Oreochromis niloticus: one gene and its partners. The protein of the gene in region 1 interacts with the protein of each later gene in a pairwise test. Links are inferred from orthologs where the notes say so. Each region holds a gene or a part of one and is shown in the gene's direction. Other genes may lie near its edges. The genes, in order: prkci, pard6gb and pard6b.

What was found.
Region 2: the proteins of prkci (region 1) and pard6gb interact in binary tests that used the Homo sapiens proteins (3 or more experiments, as listed by UniProt). The link is inferred for Oreochromis niloticus from reciprocal best matches to the Homo sapiens genes PRKCI and PARD6G.
Region 3: the proteins of prkci (region 1) and pard6b interact in binary tests that used the Homo sapiens proteins (3 or more experiments, as listed by UniProt). The link is inferred for Oreochromis niloticus from reciprocal best matches to the Homo sapiens genes PRKCI and PARD6B.

Annotation. Positions count from the first base shown.
Region 1 is NC_031982.2:22,788,870-22,796,104, reverse strand, and holds the start of prkci (protein kinase C iota type), read left to right. Parts: upstream 1-4,161; 5' UTR 4,162-4,426; coding exon 4,427-4,509; intron 4,510-7,235.
Region 2 is NC_031985.2:20,080,804-20,088,495, reverse strand, and holds the start of pard6gb (par-6 family cell polarity regulator gamma b), read left to right. Parts: upstream 1-4,614; 5' UTR 4,615-4,895; coding exon 4,896-4,967; intron 4,968-7,692. UniProt on the Homo sapiens protein: Adapter protein involved in asymmetrical cell division and cell polarization processes. May play a role in the formation of epithelial tight junctions. The PARD6-PARD3 complex links GTP-bound Rho small GTPases to atypical protein kinase C proteins.
Region 3 is NC_031984.2:31,749,416-31,757,031, forward strand, and holds the start of pard6b (partitioning defective 6 homolog beta), read left to right. Parts: upstream 1-4,544; 5' UTR 4,545-4,903; coding exon 4,904-4,966; intron 4,967-6,270; coding exon 6,271-6,493; intron 6,494-7,616. UniProt on the Homo sapiens protein: Adapter protein involved in asymmetrical cell division and cell polarization processes. Probably involved in formation of epithelial tight junctions.

The DNA of each region.
Region 1 (7,235 bases):
CTATGCAGACTGACAAGTGGGACATTGAATGTCACCTCTCCGGTGGGGAGGGAGCCTGAGATCGTCTAAATTGGAGTCTGTTCTATACCGAATGCAGAAAAAAATGTTTTAAGAAAGCAATTAAGTTCATGTTCCAAAAAATATGATTGTTTGCTTGCAGGACAACAGGAGAGATGAGTCCTCCGTCACAGATGGTGTGAAGATGGTCGCCTGCAGGTTCAAGCTCATTGCATCTCCAACCCACATCCACTGCCACTGTACTTAAGGGAAGTTAAAGACTTTCTTCTGCACCTACATTGGATCACCTCGATCCATGACAGTCATTCAGGCAGTAATGCCTGGACTGGAAACAAGCATCCTTAAAATAATACAACATTCCAGCTCATGTGTTGGAATGGAAAACAAATGTGTTGTTTAAATCAGAGACTGCACTTGTGACAGAACAACAAATATTTTGTTTTGATTATATAAGTAATGTAAGTACAAAACAAACTTGTGGTAGACCTAAACTTATTTTCAGAATAATTACATCTGAGACTTTGTTTCATTGTAAGATTAAAACAGTGATGGCAATATAATTGTTTGTTGTTCAGCAGAACAGTGTCCATCACGTTGGCTGTTGTACTTTGTTGTGTTTGAAAATAAAAGTTGGGCTGATTTTTAACATCGTTACAAAAAGTGTTGTTAATTATTTTTAATCACATTCAGGTTACACAAATTGTTTTTTCATTTAGTTAAACTTGAAATGTTTGTCAGTAGGTAAACAAATAGTATTGTACAGTCAGAAATATCAAGTTATTCTTAATACTGCATACTTGCAATGTATAAGTTGTCCTAACAGTCATCTTAAGTAAGCTTTACTTAGTTTTTTTGAGGCAACGAGTTTCCATAATTTTTTTGAGTTCTGGGAACTAACAAGGCTGTACAGTGTACTCAAAATGAGTAAGTTGCCCTAACTTGGTCATCTTACGTAAACTTGATCCAATTTTTTTGAGTTCTGGGAACAAATGAGCTTGTACAGAGTACTCAAAGTAAATAAGTTGTCCTAACTTAGTCATTTTTAGCTAAGCTTTACTCAATTTTTTTGAGGCAACGAGTTTCCATAATTTTTTTGAGTTCTGGGAACTAATTAGATTTTACAGTGTTCCCACTGTCGCCAAGTGCTTACTAGGCGGTCGTCTGTCTTTTGGGGTCTTTATAGGGTCTTTAAAGCCCCTTGAGGCGACTGTTATTGTGAATTGGCGCTGAATAAAACGGAACTGAATTAAAAACAAATTGTGGAGTCCCATCATTCGTTTTCTTCAGTCCTGTCATCTTTGTCAAAGTAGTTTCATTTCCTGTAATGACTGACCCCCTCCCCAGGACCCAAACTGAATTAAATCATCCCAGGTGTTGTGCCAAAAAGTGATCGTCTGCCAAAAACTGATTTCCGGTATTTGCCAAAAACTGATTGCTTGTATTTAAACTGCTATAAATAACTTGTTGGTCTATAATATGTGAAACATATCAAATGTATCACTCATGAATGATATCAAGTCATCTTGAGCAACAAACAACATTCCTGTAACAAGGTAGAAGCCACAATCAGGTTTTGGCAGTGACTTTTCCTTTATTTTCGCAGTTAAAAAAAAAACTCTTGTTGACTTTAAAAATGTCTCTTTTAAGAGTAATCTGGCCAAGAGGACGGCTGAAATTGCAACAAATGCAACAATAGTTCTGTAAACATATTTTAAGTGGATAAAAGGGACCAGATTGATTATAATGTAAGTACAATAACACAGTTAAAGATACTTGAGAAACAGGTAATTTTTAAATTTTATATATAACCCCTTTGTAATACCCGTTCACCAAAAAAGTCTATTTAGCAACATACGTAATGATATTACACATAAAAAGCCCATGGAAACATTGGAAATCAGTTTTTGGCAGGCAATCACTTTTTGGCACAACCGAACAAGCTTTTCATCCCAGCAGCTATGAATTTTTAAGAAATCCCAAGTTCAGTTTCAAGGAGTTCGTGAAATAGTCCCGACCTCCAGTCTACATATGTAGGCCTACTGATGTGTACCCACGTGCGTGAAAGGAGCATACTACTAATAATGACACACACACTCGGAGGTTGGTGCAAATCTTTCTCACACAGAGACGTCACGGTTTTCCTCAAACTTTATCTGTATTTATTAAAGATTACTTTGTTATGGTTAGGATATTTAAAATAAAATCAAGTTCACTTTGTTACAAACAGAGGGTGGTTTGGGTTAAAATAAATATCCTTTTAAAGCTCCGTTTTACGCGGTTGCTATGCTTGCAGCTTGGGTGACGAGTCCCGTAATACTGTGTTGGGACGAGAGACGAAATTTACTTCCTATGGAAATACAATCAGGCCATTTAAACACGTAAAAATGTGATATTTTGCGTCAGAATAGAGTTTATTTTACTATGATTAGATTTGGTCTCATGCCGTGACCAAATCTCAAACTCAGTGAGAGACAAAAATGATGTGACACTTTATGCTGATTTCATGTAACCTTTCCAACTCCTTTGCTAACGAGATTAAAGAAAAGCTCAAGTTAGCTCTTATATTATAATCTTGTCACAGCCTACCGTCTCCTTTTTTGCTTTATCTGCATAAGATTTAAAGATTTTTATCTTCTGTTTTTGTCTTTTGTCTGAAAAAAAAGCATCCATCAGCTGGCACATGTTTTGAGCTACAGGCTACTTGTGAAGATCATGAATAACTGATGAATGATGCGAAACTGCAGGAGAGCCATGATTGCAGTCTTTGCTGCCAGAAAGCCAGGCTACAGAGACGAATCTGCTAACTTTTGAAAACGAGAATGAACCATGCCCTCCTTTACCACATCCACATCTGTGTGCTTCCTCGTTTCCTCCTGCCTGACAGCTCCACATATTCAGCATCCTTTATCCAATATATCCACTATGCTTCTGCACATCCACAAACCATCTCAGCCTTAGCTCTTTGACTTTGTCTCCAGACTGCTCGACCTGAGCCGTCCCTCTGATGTACTCCTTTCTAATCCTGTCACTCCCAGTGAAAAGCTTAAAATCTTAGTTTTTGCATCTTGTCCTTGTCAGTACTACAATCTTCAAACCAGACACCATAGCAGTTCTCACGTTCATCTTGCAAACCCTTCCTTCTGTCACAAATCAACCCTGACACTCGACGTTCCTCTGCTCTCCAGGGCATACCTCCACCTCTCCAAGCTCTCTTCCACCTGCTCCCTACTCTAACTACAGATCACAAACACATTTCACAGAAACTACCATCAACCTGTCATCAGCATCAGAAACAAGAAGGGGCTCCAACCTGATCCCTGATGTAGCTCCACCCTTGTCAGGCCTGATAGGCGAGCAAAACTAGTGAACTCAAAAGCAAAACCAAGACAGACCGTCCTAGACTTTTTTCATAAAGACTTATTTCACACAAAAAGGAATTCAGACAATAGAAGACTTTCACAGAACTCTGGGGGAATGCACAGGTCTGATGAGGCACAGGTGGTCCTACTGGTTGAGGAGCGAGAAATCCAGAACTCCGTCCCAGGAGGGTGGATTATTCCTGCCCAGCCCAACCCGGAGAGAGCGCATGAACCAATTGACGGATCTTGACAACCCTAACCTTGAAGTCATCTGTCACTCCTACTGCATACCTCATACATGCCCTTATAATTGTACCCAGTCTATTTGTAAATATAGTAAACATTTAAGTTGAATTGAAAGAATATTCTATATTTAAAAGAAGATAAAACACTTCACGTTATTTTACACCCCATCACAGCAGCTAACTCGTTTGTAAAATTTTATTTTATTGTATTTTTAGCACATGTTTTTGTCACAGGTCAATTTGGTTGTTCATTCCAAACCAATGCGCTTGAATGCGCAACATGTCTCGAGGGTCTTTCCTTTCCGAGCCTAAATGTTTGAACACGAATGCAGCACTTACCTGTATAAAAGGCTTGAGTTGGTACAGTCCAGTGATGCCAAAAGTTATATCTGACCTTTCGGAGTTTTTGACCGTATCCCACTGGTTTGTTATAATCGATAAATAATAAACCAATGTGAAATTGTGTGTTTTGTCTTTTAACAAAATACAATTCTAGTTGGAACGAATATACCAAGTTATGCGCGCCCCCTGTTACATTCCGATAATGGACTGGCCCGTGGTTAGGCCTTTGCAGTGGGGAGTTGTTTGGCGGACCCCGCAAGTTTTTCTATACTTTACCTGTTATTTTTGTTTGTCTAAAGAAGGGCAAATACTCAGCTTTTGGCATCACTTGATTCGTTATTCATTTGGTTTGTCGACGGACCGTAAAAATTAACAGTTTAGGGCGTGGTACCGGGCCAAAGTAGGAAGCAAGGTAGATAGGAAGGACGATATCGTTGAGTCGGACTGTCCACGGCTGAGCTTATGATGCCGACGTTGCGGGACGGCACCATGTCCCACCCCGGCGAGAATTCCCACCAAGTCCGGGTGAAAGCTTACTACAAAGGGTAAGAAATAACCATGTCTTTTAGTATTTAATATATCCAATTGGGAATAACTAGCACCAGTTGGAAAGACGGCTAATAAGCTGGCTAACACTAGCTCAGTCAGCTAACGGCTGGCTAATGTTGGGAACCACCGGGTTTCGGTAAACTTGGGCAGGCGGACAGGTGACACTGTCCAGGCACTCCGCCTGTCGAAAAGTCAGTCTCGGTGGTATCTGAGAAATTTTTCAGCTAGACAGCGAAGTTGTCATGTGGTTTAAATTAGTTAAATCTGTCTCAGCTCGAAAGCTTTGGAGCTAGTCTCTCAGCAGCGGGCTAACAGTTGCTATCTAAGTTGATAAGGATTTGGCGTCATGTTATTGATCGTCTTTACGTTTATTTTCTCCTATCTCTGGCAGCACAGCATGTCCTAAAATACCGCTGTTGTTTCACTTAGGGATGCACAATGTGATAGCAGGAAATCCTAACAATTGTTGAGCTTTCACAATAACTGAGGAGCTTTAAAAATCCAAATTAAGTAGTGATGTTCAAGCCTTTCCAGTTAGACAATGTAATGTAGACCTATTATTTTCAGCCTCTGTTATCCCGTACTTACGTGGTATTAGTTACAACAACGAAACCATGTACCACATTTATATGTAGATATGATGAGCTCATTATAAATGCTTGTTTCACTCATAGTAGTAAACTTAAGGAAAAAGTCATTAAATCTAAAGATTTGTTTTTTATTTTGTTTCAAAAAATATCAAGCTGTAATCAGGTTATAACTGTGTCACATACAGTAAAGGACATATGAGCTGGCAGTGGGAAATCTTTTGGTTTACAATTCAAAAACAGCAGCAACCATCATAATGTTTCTGACTAGTTTAGGAACAGTTTATCAACTTTTGTTGTTTACATTGTAGCCAGAACTGTAGCATATCAGAGTTTTGCCTGGCTCAAAAAAGGATAAAGAGACCGTGTTATTGAACTTTCCAGCATTTTCTTGCTATTTGTGGCCATTTGCTGAACAAAAATCAATTTTAAGCTTAGAGCAAAGATGCTGTTTGAAGGTATTATCAAAGTTTCGGTGATTTTCCTTTGTGGAATGTCAGAACCTCTCTGGTAGGTGCCAACATGTTTTCTATAGAGGAAAATCCCCCGATAACCTAATATTTACATAAAGGAAAGCCTAAGCCAAGTCATTTAGCAAACAGACTTCAGCACAAGACCTGAACAATACACATCTCTGTATTTTCCATTGATGTATGACATATCCAGGTGGACGGCATTGTCTTTGAGTTTCTGTCATGCTAAATAAGCATTTAGTTTCACAGTTGTTTGTCATGATAGAAATAATTGATTACTCAGTTGTTTCTTTGCCTCTGTTTGATGGAGTCAAGAGATTGGAGACCAGCCAAGACTTGAAAAACGTGTAGTGCAAGTCACTTCAGCCATACCCGTGTGACACACCTCAGTACCTCTGTGATGTGTGTTGATTATTGGGTGGCATCTCGCAGAGCGAGGCATGTGAAATATTTCTGACGCGACGGCTGAGGAATCTCAACTATGCTGCCAAAGAGAGATTGCAGTGTAATGGTCTCATGATTCTGCTATCGGGATGCATTAAGCCAGGATGTCATCTGAGTTGTTTTCTTTCGCTGCAGAAGTTAGGACTGAAAGATGTTTAAGTTGGTAATGCACCAAATCAATAAAGTAGATTAGGCAGTAGTGTCATGTCGAAGCTGTTTACTGACTGTTTTTATAAGACCACAACAACACATCTTTATACACCTTATTGTATAAATGGCTTCACTAAAACTGAGTATGTGGTTAAACTTCAGAATTAAAACAGTTCATTGTTTGATCAGTTAACAGACTGCCATAAAAATTTTTTATATTACTGTTATTACAGTATAATTAAAGTTAGTCTATCGAGTGCTTTTCAACAACAAAAGTCAAAAAGTGCTTTACAGTATAAAATAGGATACAACAATTAAAGTGGTACACTTAGATGAAATAATAAAGGCAATACTGCACAGCTGGATGTTTAGCTTCTTTTTAAACAGTGTCCACAGATCTCAAGTCCAAGTTTAAGTCTGTCGGAGGGTGGTGTGCTGTCACAGGATCACAGCAAGAACGTTCGGGATTCGAACATGCCGGCCATCTGGGGTCTTTGTGTGTAGGATCTCTGGATATTCTGGTTTCTTTCACAGTCCAAAGATGGGCTTGTTAGGTGATTCTAAATTGGCTGTAGGTGTATTAGCCCTGTGATGACCTGGTCACCTGTCCAAGGTGTACTCTTTCTTTTGCCCCATGAAAGCTGGGATAGGTTCTGCAAACCTAAATTGCATAGGCAGTGAAGAAAAATGACAATGAAGAAAAGACGTTTTTAATAAAAAACTCACTGCAGTTAAAAGATGTACCTAAAACATTGTGTCCATGCGGCCTGTGTTAAACCCGTTAGGAAAAAAAACAAAAAACAAATCATACTGGCTGTATAGGGAACAGTATCTTATAAATAAGCTGAAATAGGGCATTAAATCTTTTGTTTGAGTCTCTTGTTAAGCAAGCATCATCGCACGGTGTGACATATCGGCATTCAGAACAGCAATATTTCCTGTGACAAAAGACCAGAGATGGGGAATGGAGCTTTGTGTAGAGCATAACATTTCAACATTTTCCTCTGCGGACTTAAACACCGTGTAACTTGAAAAAATTTCTTAATATGAAGATAAAATGGTGTCATT
Region 2 (7,692 bases), on another chromosome or scaffold:
GAGGAAGACATATGCTGATGTTTCCTCTCCGGTGTTAATAAACTCATCGTTTGATTGCACTTGTCTGGTGCCTCCGTCGTTTGTTGTTCTGGTCTCCAATTGATTGATCTCGCACGATAGTAACGTGCAGCTCATCTTATCCATTCAATCCAGTCTGTCCTAGTTTGTTTTTTTGTTCACTAAAAAGAAGAATATGCAATTAAATCAACCATAAACACAATTAAGATTGAATATTTCACTGTCACCATTACAGCCACTTGCTTATTGTACCAAAAATCTGGTTAACATACAGGACTGTACAAAAGCCTTGAACCACCTTTTTGTTTTTTCTTTCTATTTTGCTTCCAAAACATTCCAAGCCACTTATCACTGACATGAATCAGTGAGATGAACTGCGTTCTGTTAATCAGTGGCAACAGGTCTTACGGAATAATTAATCCAAATTTTATATTTTTGATTCAAATCATTGTCATTATGTATCAAGGACGTCAGGAGAGAGGTCTGCAACCATCTCTAAAACATGGTGGAGGCTCTGTCATCATTTGGTGCTGCATTTCAAGTGTCTGGTTGGTAACAGTTTCATTTTTCAGCATGACAATGATCCAAAACACACTGCCAATGCCATAAAAACACACCTGGATAGAAAAACACACAATACAACACTATCAACCATGGATTGGCCTCCCCAGAGCTCAACATTATTGAAGCAGTGTGGGATCATCTTGACAAGAGACATAACAGATGACACCCAAAATCCAAAGAAGAACTTTGAATGTCCTTCAAGAAGCCTGGATAACTATTCCTGGAGATTTATTAAAGAAATTACTAGAAAGCCTGTCAAAAAAAGTTCAGGCTGTGGTGAAGAATAAAGTTGGGAATACCAAATATTGACTTCCAAGCTTGTTAGAATACAAAGTCTGTTTTCCACTTATACACTATATTTCCATGTACACTTGTTTAAATAAATCACGGCACATATTTCCTATTTTTCCAGCAAAATATCAAGAAATAAGGGGTGGCTCGGGGCCTCTGGACACTGCTGTTTGTTGGTATATAGACTCATCTCACTGCTGATCAGTCCCAAAGCAGTGGCAGACCCCCTTGTCGTGTTTTGAGATAACTATAATAGATTTAGACTCATTCTGAATAGAGTATTGGATGGCTTTGCTCAGCCAACATCCTAGTTGGTTTTGTCTGTATCGAGCTGATTGATTACTTGTGTGTAGTCAGCGCCTTTGATGTGGTTTTATTTTATTTTTATTCACGTCCAGAGTAAATTTATATGTTTGCCTTGTAATCCTCATTGATCATGAAAGCCTTATAACTTCCATTTCAAAGAACATACTAGTGATTGAAGCTTCTTTATGAGTTATGGCTTTGTTTTGTTTCCTTGATGACAAATACAGTATTCTTGTAAAATCATTGAAGATGTGAGATGAAAATCTATGTTTTAAAAAAACCCATTCATTCTCTTTGATGTTGCATAAAGTTTTATATTTAAAAGAAAGTCTGGATGTTGCCCCACCATCTACAGAAAAAGAAAAATCATGTAAATGGCTTTGCTGCAAGATAGCTGATTAAAGTAGATGTGCATCCCCCTTTGTCTCTTTCTCTCCTAATTGATTGCCTGGCTTTTGAGACAAGAAGAAAATAAATATCTTCAAGCCAAGATACTTTAGTTGCACAGAAAACTAAAAGGGGGTTCCCCTGCCAACGCCAATACACTATACTGCAGTTTTAAAGAGGCAATGTGGGCCAACACTAAAATTTAGTGAGATCTTCCTTTGCCCATGCTCCACTACTGCTCAATGAAGTTTCATGACATTTACTTTTTGTGTAATGTTGATGACAAACAGAAAAACTGAAAACCTACCTTCACTGACAGCATCCACAATAGTTCGTGGCAAGACAACATCCCTAAACCTTCAGACCGTGTCATTTTTACTCGTGTTAGATCGTTCTTCCAAGCGCCCTGCAGCAGATCAGCAACCTGACCAAGATGTGCTCTGCTTTTTTCCCTAGGACACCAGCGGTTGCATGCCGGAGCAGCAGGTTGAGTGTCGTGGATGACAACAGACTCAATAAATTGATCCGTAAGACCAGTAGCATTGTAGGGATGGAGCTGGACTCAAGGTGGTGTCAGAGAGGTGGTTGTTGTCCAAGATAGATACAATACTGGACAATAAACTCTCATCGACTCCATGATGTGTTGGTCAGTCACAGGAGCGCGTTACCCAAATGCACCACTGAATGACACAGGAAGTCATTTCTTCCTATGGCCATCACTCTGTACAACTCCTCCATCTACACAAGTACACACTGCAATAGTTGCACACCCTTAATATCACATCCTCTACAAAGAAAAGTTACAATTAATATAACAAAAGGGGCACCTCAGTGTCACCCATATATATGTAATTTCGTGTAATATACAGGGATATTTATGATTAGAGCTATTTGTATTTATTAGAGCGATTTTGTTATATTCTGTAATATATTGTATTATTCTATTTAGTTTAGTTAGTTCCTATTGGATCAACTGTGACCACATAATTTCCTCTGAGGTTATTAAAGTATTCTGATTCAGATGCTAATTATGGAAATGGATGGACGTTCTTCCAAGTTTTGGCAACCAGGGAACATTGGAATTAATTCTTCTGATTGACACACAACAAAAACATCTATCCATCTTTCCTTATGGTAGGTTTATGGCAATCACCTGTGATGATTCAGGCCCAGATGGTGAAAAATGTAAAAGATTTAACTTTATGTAGAGGAAGGTCAGTATTTTTCCACCATAATTCAGTTAAAACATATGCAGATTTTTGAATTTACTAAAGCACACTGACTAAGTCACGCTGTAACTGTTGCACTGTTAAAGTCATTAAAACAATACCACACATCGGCCGTTAGTGGGCGCAATAAGCTTAACTACTCGTTTTCTTAACGCTAGTTATATAGAGCACCACCTCATTCACCTTACAATATTTCATTAATTATTAACTACCAGCAAATATGACGAGCATCAGATGTTGCAGAAACACACAAAAATCACCGTCTCTTCTTTTTCATGCTAATAAGTCCTAACTTGATTGCGGGCACCCATCAGATGTAGTTCTGACTACAGTTGATAAACATTTACACACTAAATCTACTACAGCGTAACTATCCCTGCATGCAGTCACATAAGGAGCACTGCAGTGTCTGTGCTGCAGGATCGCAGTGAAACCTGGGTTTGGGTTCTGTTTGTAAGCAGTCAACACATTCCTGAAGAGAGTAAACCAGCAGCACTTTCAGCTACTGAGAGGGTGTGTGTGTGTGTGTGTGTGTGTGTGTGTGTGTGTGTGTGTGTGTGTGGACGGGGGGGCATGCAGCCTGCAGCTGTTGTGCACAGCCAGCTTCAGGGGCCCAGGAATGCTGTCAAGCAGGATTGCGGTCATGGATGCTAATTAACCCAGCTGAAAATGAATATTCCCGATCAGCTGGTTCTTACGCTGTGAGGTTTTTGGTTCAGGTTGAATGGCTCTGGATGCCTATACCTCACAAAGGAGGGGGTGTGAGATTATCACGTTCCAGGGCCAATTAGAGATGTTTACCTGGTGCACTTTGAAGCTCTCTGCTGACAGAAGAATAGCTTCCTCTTGGCCACCCAAGTTGGGTGGCAGGTCTTGTTACAAATCCTGTGTAACCTGGATAAAAAGATGGTTTTATGGTCTGTAAAAGATCACAAAAATAAGACTTAATGGTATCATAGGCCACATTTAACTCCATATTATGAAGACAATGTAAAAATACAAGTAAATCTTCACCTGTTATGTATCTGAAAAGTTGAGCAGGCTACAGCAGATGGTTAAATATAAAGATATGTGGCTGTTTTCTTCACACTATGGTGTTTTTATGTGTTTGAGTTCCCAGTGGCTCACGCTTCACCTTCACTTACAGAGGTAATGATTGTAAACTGAACTCTTAAACCCAATTTATGTTGTTGTTGGGGGATTTTTTTATATTAAAAGATATATGTTCCACACCACAGGGTTTGTAGGCTTACACCACCTTGTTGGGATCAATGAATTCAATCATTTAAATACAGACCGTTTTTAAAAATGCTTAGAAAATCGCGTCCTCTGGTGTCTCGGAGGTCCAGCGTGCGCAGTGCTGCCTTCACAGATCCTGGAAATACACCAACTAACCGGAAAGACCACTCTTTTTTTTTTTACTCTGAATATATTAGGCTATAAATTGGACAGGGCGGGGTTAGAGGAAGTCTGCCTACTTTTGAGATTTAAAAAAAATATATATTTTAGTTTAATTATTTTTGCTTCATTTTTGCTTCATATGCATCAAAAGACGACTAAACACGGCTGATTTAATATGATCATTTTATTAACAGGACATAATACATATCAAGTTGTCATTGTTATAAATATTTGTGTGTGTTTTGTTTGTTTGTTTTGCGATAGCATACATTCTTAAACCTTAATCCATCATCAGTAGTAGCTGTTATTTACTCAGCCTTTACTGACTACAGTAAGGATACAAAGAGATCCCGCCTGAGGGAGTTGGGGATTTCGTGCGGTACGTGAATGCATCCCAGAATCCCGTTTTTTTTAAGAGGGCTGATGTCATTTTCAAAACTTAACTCACACTCCTCAAGTCAACGCGGCGAGTCGCACACCTCCTGCTCTCTCGTGAAGTCCTCCCTCATGTCTGTCGGAGCGCACTGAGAAAAGAAAAAAGAAGTCGGGGAGGTGAAAGAAACACCAAGTTCTGTGGAAGAAGCGAACAGGGAGAATTTTTTAGAGCAGAAAGCCCGGGACCAGAGCCCCTCTCTCTGTGGGCAAAGGCGGCTGAACTTTTTTTTTTCTTTTTTTTTTTTTCCTTCAAACGGGAAAAAAATGAATCGGAGCTTTAATAAGTCGCAACCTCTGCGAAATCCTAACTGCAACGCTGTGGAAGTGAAAAGCAAGGTGAGTGGAAACTTGAAAGCCCTGCTTGGTGGTGGCGTTGGTGGATAGGATTCGGGGGGATTAAAATAATAATAATAATGATAAATGTTCACATGGCTGTCCCGTCACGGAGCCGGAGTTGGTCGGACGGTGTGCAGCCTACGCCACATAACTATTTCCGCTTTTTTCCCCGTGAGTTGTGCGGGGAAAGTTACAGGTTCTGGATGTTTCTCTCATTTGCAGTGATTGTTTGCTTCTTACTTCCGATCCAGATTGTGCTGATTTGACTTTTTCTATCCCGATGCTGCTGTGGGTGGTTGATGGAGGGGGGCTGGGTAGGTGGGTAACGGGGTTGTTTTTGAAGCACCTAGTTCTCCAGATTTCCTACAGCAACAAAGTTTCCACCTGTTAAAATCAGACGTTGCATTAGTTGCACTGAGTTTTTGTCTTGCTACACAGTATCAGCCTAGCTCTTTGTTTTGGATCATTTTTTTAAACGCTGACAGACTAATGGACACACAAACATCAAGTGGATTGCCAAGATTTCAAGTGTTATGTCTCAATGGAGTGCCCTGATTTATGAAGCTTTTCATCTCAACACGTACACAATACATCCACATGAGCTATGCGGTTCTTATTTAAGTTTATACTGTAGAGGAAGAGTTTTATTTTTGTTTTGTTTTTTTATTACACAAGTGACAGTTTGTGTGGGCTCTGTGAAGAACTACCAGCTGACACTCATCACTTGTGAACCCCACAATGATTGCTGGTGACCTGCATTCTAATCCAGTGTTTCTGATTTATTTATTTGTGAGTATTCGCATGTGTTCACACCTGAGGGTTAAAGGGAGAGATGGGCAAGTGGTGCAAAAGGTGACTCATTCACTCCTGAGTTGTTTCCACCTTTTGGCCGCCCAGTTTCAGTGGGGTGGTGGACAGATGGAGCACAGATGCTCTGATGGTGACAGGTGGGTGAGCATGTACTTACACAGAAACGGCCAAAAAAGGGGAGTAGTGTTTGTGTGTGTGTAGGTGGGTTTTTTGTTCTTTTTGTTGTTTTGCCTTTTTTTTGCTGCAGGGTTTGTTCCACAGAGACAGGAGTGGTCACTCCGTGGCTGCCGCAGATTGTTTGTGGGTGGGACTGGCACGCCAGGAGCTCTGTGGCTAGAACAGACAGGTCCACGGCGTCACCACGGCACACCGTCATGCCACGACGTCACACGTTTCCACTTTTGGATCAGATGTGACTCATCCCTCTCCGTCACGTCACTTTAAGCAGTTTCACATTTTGTTCTACTTCGTCAGGTTGTGTTTTGTTTTGATCCGTTTGGGGTGTGTTGGGAGCTCTAACACCCTTCCCTCATGTTCCCTCATGTTCCCTCATCTCCCTCAGTGAAGAAATTAAGCGTGTTGATGAAAGAAAGCTGATGATTTGGAGAGAAAGTGACTGTTGTGGGTCTTTTAAAGCACACTGACAGTTGAGGACATTTGAATACCTGTAAAGGGAAATCTTATCTGTTACATAGCTCTGCCACAGTCTGGGCCTCTGAAGGCACAGAGGAGCAGGATCAGCTACACGTAATTCAGTTCATCATTTAGTAGTAAATAAAGATACGATATCCTCACAATACTTTGGTCGCATTACAATATTATTGCAGTTTTAAACATTTTGCAATGTTCTGAGTGTTGCAGTAATATGTAATGCAATCTATCATCATTTTCAAACTGCAGATTATGTCCTCAAAGTTAAACTTTGTCAGTGTTTGTTTTATCCAATAAGATAAAGTTATCTTGCTCTTTCTTTCCTGTAGAATGAGATTTTCCTGACTGCCAACACTGGCACTAAAAGCGTGCTGTAAATGTAACCTAATACTTTACTTTAATGAGTAACAGTAGTTAAATTTTTAAGTAATACACAGAATATGAAATGAAATAAAAGTTATAAAACATAAACAAGACCCATTGATGAGGTTTGGGACTCATAAATTGTGTAACACTCAACAAGACTTACCTTCTCATGTAAACGCGAACAAAACAAAAAAATACACACTAAAATTTATACAGGCTTCCTGCCTTCTCATTAGATACAGATATGTTTCCATAACAATAAAGAAACAAGAAATATCCAAAGCCAAACGACTTATTTACAGACTCGAATCATCCTCGCATTCACATTTGTTTTGTTTTTATATAGTTGTGTAAACTTGTGCCGTGACAAACAGGTTTTCATTTCCTCTACGTAGTTACTGTAAAGTTGTAATAGTTACTGTTGGTTCCTACAGCCACTTTATTAAACATGGAGTTCTCTCTCAGTACGTGGAGTTTTTGTATGACTCGAAACTACCTCTGATAGGAGAAAGATGCCGGTTCAATTGCAGACGGAGACGCAAATCGCTTCTTTGGTTGCAACAGGAGGGAAAAAAAAAAAATCTCCCAAGTCAAACGCATGCAACTGGTCGCTGCGGTGACCTTTTTGTGATTAAGGAAGCCCCCAAAAGTAGCTTTTGAGTGTCTTTGGGCGCAGTTGAACATTTGAGCAGGCATTTTTGTTATGTGATTACTTTCTTTAAACCAAAAAAAATGTCTAAATAATTTGTTAAGCAGAAGCAAACATGGCCTTTAGGTGCACTCCCTTTTTAATAATCGTATGCCAAATAACCAGGGGTGCACATAAGTGGTCAGCATGTGCACATTTGCTGTCAAAATAAAAGACGCGCACCAGATAAGAAGTTGCAACGCGCGTTTG
Region 3 (7,616 bases), on another chromosome or scaffold:
ATTTGCAAAGAAAAGCGTCTGGACTTCTTTGAGTTGCTTGAAGACGTTTCACCTCTCATCCGAGAAGCTTCTTCAGTTCTAAGGTCAAATGGTGGAGAGTCCCAGATTTAAACCCAGTGGGAGTATCCCCCCAAGGAGGGACAAAGGACCCCCTGGTGATCCTCTAATCACATGAGCCAAGGTGTGAAAGCGGGTGTGGTACCTAATCAGCCAGGGTTTCAGGTGAGCTCATTGTGAAACCTGGCCCCACCTTGTCATGTGAATTCCTGAGGTCAGATGGCCCAGGATGTGAGTGCACGTTAAGGCGTCTGGGGAGGGAACTCAAAACTGGATTATAGATGGCAGACAGTTGGTGTCGTAAACCACCGCCTCTGTTCAAAGATGGTCGCTCACAGTGGACATAGATGGCCTCTTTCACTCCTCTTTCAAACCATCTGTCCTCTCTGTCCAAAATGTGAACATTGGCATCCTGGCAACGCCCACTCACATCCTGGGCTATCTGACCTCAGGAATTCACATGACAAGGTGGGGCCAGGTTTCACAATGAGCTCACCCGAAACCCTGGCTGATTAGGTACCACACCCGCTTTCACACCTTGGCTCATGTGATTAGAGGATCACCAGGGGGTCCTTTGTCCCTCCTTGGGGGGATACTCCCACTGGGTTTAAATCTGGGACTCTCGGCCATTTGACCTTAGAACTGAAGAAGCTTCTCGGATGAGAGGTGAAACGTCTTCAAGCAACTCAAAGAAGTCCAGACGCTTTTCTTTGCAAATTCCTTTACGATGACCTGGATGACTGAGAACCTTCACAGACAAAATGAACAAAACAATGAAAAAGGCTCATGGTACTCAATTACTCTACGTTATCGTGTTTTACTTACACTTTTCAGTTGTAGTTGCTGACAATAAATAATATTGATTTGAATAATTAATGATTTTAGTACAAGATACTGATGAGTATAGATACCTATTTCTCAAATATTTTGATTCAATTTTAAACAAAAATATTAAGTACATGCAAAGAAGGTATTCCATGAACCACATACTGAATTTTTTGTCTGAGATAAATGTAAATAAATACCTTAATTTAACACAAACACATACGTTAACATTTTAGACGTTTATTTCAACTTATGAAACTCAAATAATTACTAAAAGGATATTCATAGATTTTATCAGGTTCATCTAACTTATATTTATAGTGATATTTACTAAGCCTCTGAATTAATTTTTAGAGTGTATGTGCAAAACTTATGAAAGTGTAATCAGGGAACTGGAGCTGGAGGGTAGCAGGACACAGGTGAAAATAATCATAGACAATAAGACAGGAGGCAGGAAGTCAAATTAAACACAAAACACTAAAGTCAAGCAACTATCAAATAAAACAGGGTTATACGGATACATGACAAAACTTAGGGGGAACTGACAGGAGGGTGAGTCAGGGAACAATGAGGGGAAAATGCAAACTGGAACTAACACATAAAAGCTCTGCATAAATAAAAATCAAGGAATAAACAGTTTAAAAAAAAATCCCTTATTTTAGATGTTCAATGTTTGATTCTCAAAGTCCAAGAAACCCAGGGACTGTGACATCTACAATATGCTCAGAAGTGAGCAGACTTCTCTCCACATTTGTCATCAAATTGAAGTCTACAATTACTTTACTCTCCTCATTCTTCTCACCACCCTCAGGGTAACCTCCATTATCTCCTCTCTCTCTTTTCACTTCCATCATCCTCTATCACATCTTCTTGTTACACAGACAGACCCTCTACAAGAAGGAAACACACAGGACTGTTATTAGCCTCGTAACCTGCTTATGGCTTCATCCTGTTTTCAATCTTTTGTGTGCTAAAACATCAGAGGTCAAACCAGGTCATCAGAACACATGTAGTCACACAGTATTTCAGTAATGCAGTGTGACTCAGTGGCTAAGAATACATTTAAATAACCTAAATGGTCTCTTTGAGACCCAAGACACAGCACAGCACTGTTTCAAGGTGGTAGGAAGGAGATAGGAACTTAAATATAACCACTTGCTACAACCAAGGTTTGCAGAAGAGCATCTATGAATGCACAACACATTGGACCTGGATGGACTATTGCAGCAGAAGACCACAAACTCATGTCAGCTAAGAACAGGTAATGGAGGATACAGTTTGCACGTTTTCATTGTAAAAAAAAAACAAAACAAAAAAACATTATCTGGTCTATGAACCATGATTTCTGGTGAAAAGTTCAGATGGTAGGATCACAAATGTTGTGTAAATGACATGAAAGCATGGATCCATTCTGCTGTGGATCAGTGGTTCAGTCTGCTGACTGTAGTGATGTAATCGTGTGTGGGGGGTTTTCTTGGTGCACTTTAGGCCCCTTAGCTCCAGCTGAGCATTATTTAAATACCACAGCCTCCCTGAATGTTTTTGATGACCATCCCTTCATGGCCACAGTGTACCCATCTTCTGATGACTGGTTCCAAAAGGATAATGCTCCACATTACAAAGTTTCAATTATATCAAACTGGCTTGTTGAACCTGGCAGTGAGGTCACTGTACTCAAATGGCCTCGCCTGTCACCAGTTCCCAGTCCAATAGAGCACCTCTGGGATGTGCTCAGTTCAATGTGGACCAACATCTCTGAGGAATGTTTCTGGACCTTTTTGAAACAAAGACACAAAGAATTAAGGCAAAATGAGGCTGCAGCACTACTAACAAGATATACAGACAGTGTGAGAGTAAAACTTAGGTAGCTGCTCTCACTTGTGTGGGAATATGTATATGGTTAAACCTATGATGGGTCTAATGAGGTTACAAATGTGCAAAAGAAGAAAACCCATGTTTCAATAATTTTGATTTTGATTTTTTTGTTGTTTTAGTGGAACACCATCTGTAATGAAAAGCACATGACTGTATCAACATAAGCTACCCTGTGTCTGCCTTCTGTTTTCCAGTCATGTGAAGAATCCTTTGCCTGCATGAAGCAGGATATTATACAGAAGGAGGAACTCCGACTATTTTCTACACACGTATAAGCTTTGAAAAAAAAAACTGTTGTGTTTTGTGTCTTTCAGAGGAAGATAAATCATTGCTGCTTTCTGCGCTCAGTCAAATATGTGTATATTTCATCTTCAAATCGAGACATTTGTAGTTTTTAAAACAAGGACATGCATCTCCCTTCGCAGTCTCTGTCTCCCTCTAGTGTCTACAAGTAATATGTGAACAAACGTCGAGCTGTGAGTTTGTTACATGCTTAGTACAACTGTGCAACTTATCAATTTTTTTCATTTTCTGAACTAAAGTGAGTGCTTTTAGCTGAAATTTTGATCAATGGAATTTTAGCGTTATGTTTTATTTACTCAACAAATACATCTCGATTTTCATATAAAATGTCAAAGTGACGGTGCAGAGGGATGCATTTTTCTTGTTATTTGACCAACTAAATCTGACTTCTAAAGTTGTTGCTTTTTTGTTTGTTTGGTTTTTTTTTAAAGAGAGAAGGATTTTAGGATTTTATTCATAGTCAAAATGTTACTCTGTAAAGTAACTTTAAAGGAATATTTTAGTCGTTTTCACTCACTGATAATAACCCTGCTAAGATTCCTTTTGCTGTATTCAGCTAAAAAAGTTCTTTATCTGTTTATACAATAAATTCCAAAGTTCCAGAATGCCAGTTTCACTTTCAATTAAATATAATTAAATAATTATTTCTAACATGTTTTTATGTCTTATGTAAAAAAAAGGACATGGCATTGTGTGAGAGATGCCCTTCTCCAAAGATGAATGTTGTAAAATGTAAAAACTACGCGATGCCTTGTCTTGGAAACAATAATTACGCATCAATAAGCCATTTAATAACGTCAGATGGGCTGTTTATACATTGTAAATTAATATGTCTACAACAACAAAACCTTGTAGACATTTATTATGATGGAATTCTTGGTCTGGGTCACCATGAAGGCATCGAGTTTGAAAGGGTTAAGTATCTGCATTTACCGGGCAGGTAGCCAGCAGCTGCAGCAGGTATATATTGGTTTTGGCCATAAGATGTCACTATAAAATTAAAACACTCACAAGATGTAGCCAGAGCAGGAACTACAGTTTATTTTTTGTACCCATATGAATTCTACATACGCAGGTAACACTTCATTCAACTATCATAAAATCTCTGTTACACTATTAGTTTTTACTGGGTACAGTATAACTGTTTAAATAGTTAATGCAAACGATTTTAATTTAGGGTTTTTAGAGATATGGTCATCATTACGTTATTAGAGTGAGAAAGTACAACTCTAAGTGCATCAGTGCTTCAGTTAACATGATGGCAAACACCCCCCCACACACACACACACACTTAAAATAGTTTTTTTTTTTTTTATGAATGACATTAAAAACAAAAAATGAGGCATTACTGTTCATTATTGTTCGAGCTATTTGGAGCATGGTTGCCACACCGTGCCAGGACAGAGTGGGCTAATGCTGGTGAGGTGGAAGCTGGCTCTTATTTTGAAGCCACAGAGTATTATAAATGCCACGCCTTTTATTTTGAAGTCCCGTATCTCCGGCTCTCCGGGTACGGGCAGGGAGAGAGAGTCGCAGGCAGAGGTAAGCCAGAGACGGTACGCTGTGGGGCTGTAGCTACGGTGTCAGCGGCAAGTATGAGAGGAGACAAGTTTACGAGCTGAAGCTGGCTGATTGACAGCCTCTGTCGCATTCTGTGGAGGGACCACTCATACCGGCGGACGTCAAGAAGTCGCGGTGTAGTCTGTGCGACTGAAACACCCCACAACTAAAACATTAAAAACAACTGGTGGACACACGGGGTTTGTGGATAGACATTGGCAGCGGCGGCAGGAGCAGGGAGAGAGTGTGAGTGCTTTGGCGGCGGTCCCGCTGCTAGAGAAACATGAACAAAAACCACCGAGTGCCGAGCAGCCGTTCTCTGAATGCAGTGGAGGTGAAGAGCAAGGTGGGTACGGACACTTATTTGTCAGGTATCCTTCCAGTGTTTGTACTCCCGACAACCTTCGTCCTCATTAAATCCACTCTTGCTAATTTAGCCTGCTAAAGTGGCTTGATAGCGGGTTATTATGAAGCAAGGCTTATAAACTTTAAGAGGAGCTAACGGTTTTTTTGTTTTGTTTTTCACTGTGACCACCCGGGTGTTTGGTTACAATTCTTAAAACTTTATTGGTAACCGTGGCGTAGTTTTTTGGTCGTTTTACGTCTAAAGGCTAGCTAGTTTGTGGCAAGGTGGAGGGTTTTTGTCAGCTGACTGCGCAGTGAGCCAGTGTCACCTGTCACAGCCTTCTCCGCCGTACTCTCCTACTCGTTTACCGAGTACTGACTTCAAGTTTGAGTCAACTCTTTAACTTAATTTAATCTGCGTGGAAAGTTTGCTCAAATTAACAAAAGTTTATGTCAAATTACGTCGGTTAAAGGTGTCAGTCGTTGCCTGTCGTGTTATTTGCCTGCGGTTACAGGTGTCACACGGCCTGCGTCAGGCTCGTGGCTCCATCCGCGCCCTGCTGAGGCATGACCACACATAAGTGTAATGAATAATGACTATATTGTTCTAGACGTTTTTGGACGCGTTGACACAAGCTGTCAAATATTTTCAGCTGCAACACTCATTTTTTGCCTTCCTCATACTTTACCTAGATTAGTTACTATAGCTATTATTATTATTTAATCAGCTATCCCGGGATTTTTAAGTTTTTTGACTCTTCTGAGTTAAGATTATCTTCCTTATGTCCCCAACCACTTATTAAATTAACTCTGCTTTGCATTGATGCATAAAATAACTGATTAAGCTGGGAGATCATCTTTTGTCAGTGCTGAGCAACAGTAACCACAACAGCCGGTACCTCTCACTAGCACTACCAATGAGGCATTGTGCTCTGTCTCAACTACAGAGCTGCCTAAAGATTAGGCATCTGCAGCCATTGATCCAGTCAGCCCACGGGCTTAAATGGGTAAACCAGCAACACGTTTGTGGTGATTGTACATATGCTGAAAGCACACTGTCTTTCTAATAGCTGCATGATAAATACGCTGTGTGGTAGCTTGATAAAAGCTTTAATCTGCAAGCCTAGAGATACACAAAACACGTGAATAATTTACCACACGTGGTGTGCTTTGGCTTACGCATCAGTACAAAGTAGGCTTATCAAGCACTGTTTCATACCCTGGTTTCGGCCATACGTCACACCTCTGTGTGTATTTGTGTGTTCATTTGCAATCACATGTGAACGCCTTTCTGCCCCATCCCAGTTTGGTGCAGAGTTTCGTCGGTTCTCTCTGGATCGGTCCAAGCCAGGCCGCTTCGACGAGTTCTACGGTCTCCTGCAGCATGTGCATCGCATCCCCAACGTGGAGCTGTTGGTGGGCTATGCTGACGTGCACGGTGACCTGCTGCCCATCAACAATGACGACAATTACCACAAGGCCATCTCCACAGCTAACCCTCTACTCAGGCTGTTCCTCCAGAGGAAAGGTATGCACAGAGGAAGTGTTTGGACAAAGAGTCCCAAGTTTTCATTTGTTTGCTTGGTTACATCTGCTTTGCATTGGAAATGCAAATACAGTCATTAGCATTGAAAAGCACAGCTTAGAAATATGTGATAGGCTATTGACTATAGCTGTGACAGAGTTATAAATACTTAAGTGTCACTTTACATTGTAAGTTTTTAGGCTACTTGTTGTATGTTGCCATGTTCAGCGAAACAAACTAAATGGTAAATGCTAAACCACTGGCCTCTATTTTTTTTCCTTATTGATTTCTAGTTAACTAAGCTAAGGTTAGGGGGCTTGTTGAGAGGAAGAATGCACTTGAAATGAGGAGTTCACTATAAGAGCTGAGCAAAACAACAAGAGTAGACTAATGGAGTTCACTTTGAGTTTGTCCAGTAGGCTGTTTTGTATTGCAGCTCGGTAGCTGCATGGGAGTTGTTTTTTTACGTGTCTGACTGTTTTGGAAATACGGGTTTCAAGTTTGACAGTGCTGCTGTCGAACAGTGTTTCTGTAAACACTGCTGCTGCAGTTTCTAACTTCCTTTGCTGGCTCTGGTGTAATCATTACCAATGTTCCTGCCATAATTGCTGTGCTTTTGCAGTTCCCCTTGTAGATAAGTTTTTAATCTTTAGCTAATAAAGGAATAAGTTGTGGCTGCTCTAAATTCATGCTCACAAGTATGGCTTACCTTTATTTCATGTGTATGATTACTGCAGGTCTTACTATACCAGCCTTGGTGTCTGATATTGGCATATTGCCAATTAACATGGCATTTACTGATGTCAGTGGTCAACATTAATATGTTCTGTCTTCAAGATTTCACACGAGCTGAGTGTTCAAAGATTGTGTTACAAAAAGCTGAAAGACTTTAAATGGGGTCAGTTGTTTCTTTCTTTTTTTTTTTTTGTTATCATGGAGTAAATGAGGTATAAGCACAACAAAAGGGAAAGAAGTAGATTTGGAAACAAAATGCTGCTGTTGGCCTATAATTTCACAATCAGTGTATCCATAGTGATTACATAAACATGTTTCTGTCAGAGTATACGTACAAAGGTTTAACCTCTCCTTTGATTTTGGAGTGTATTCCTAATCACTAAGTTGCTAA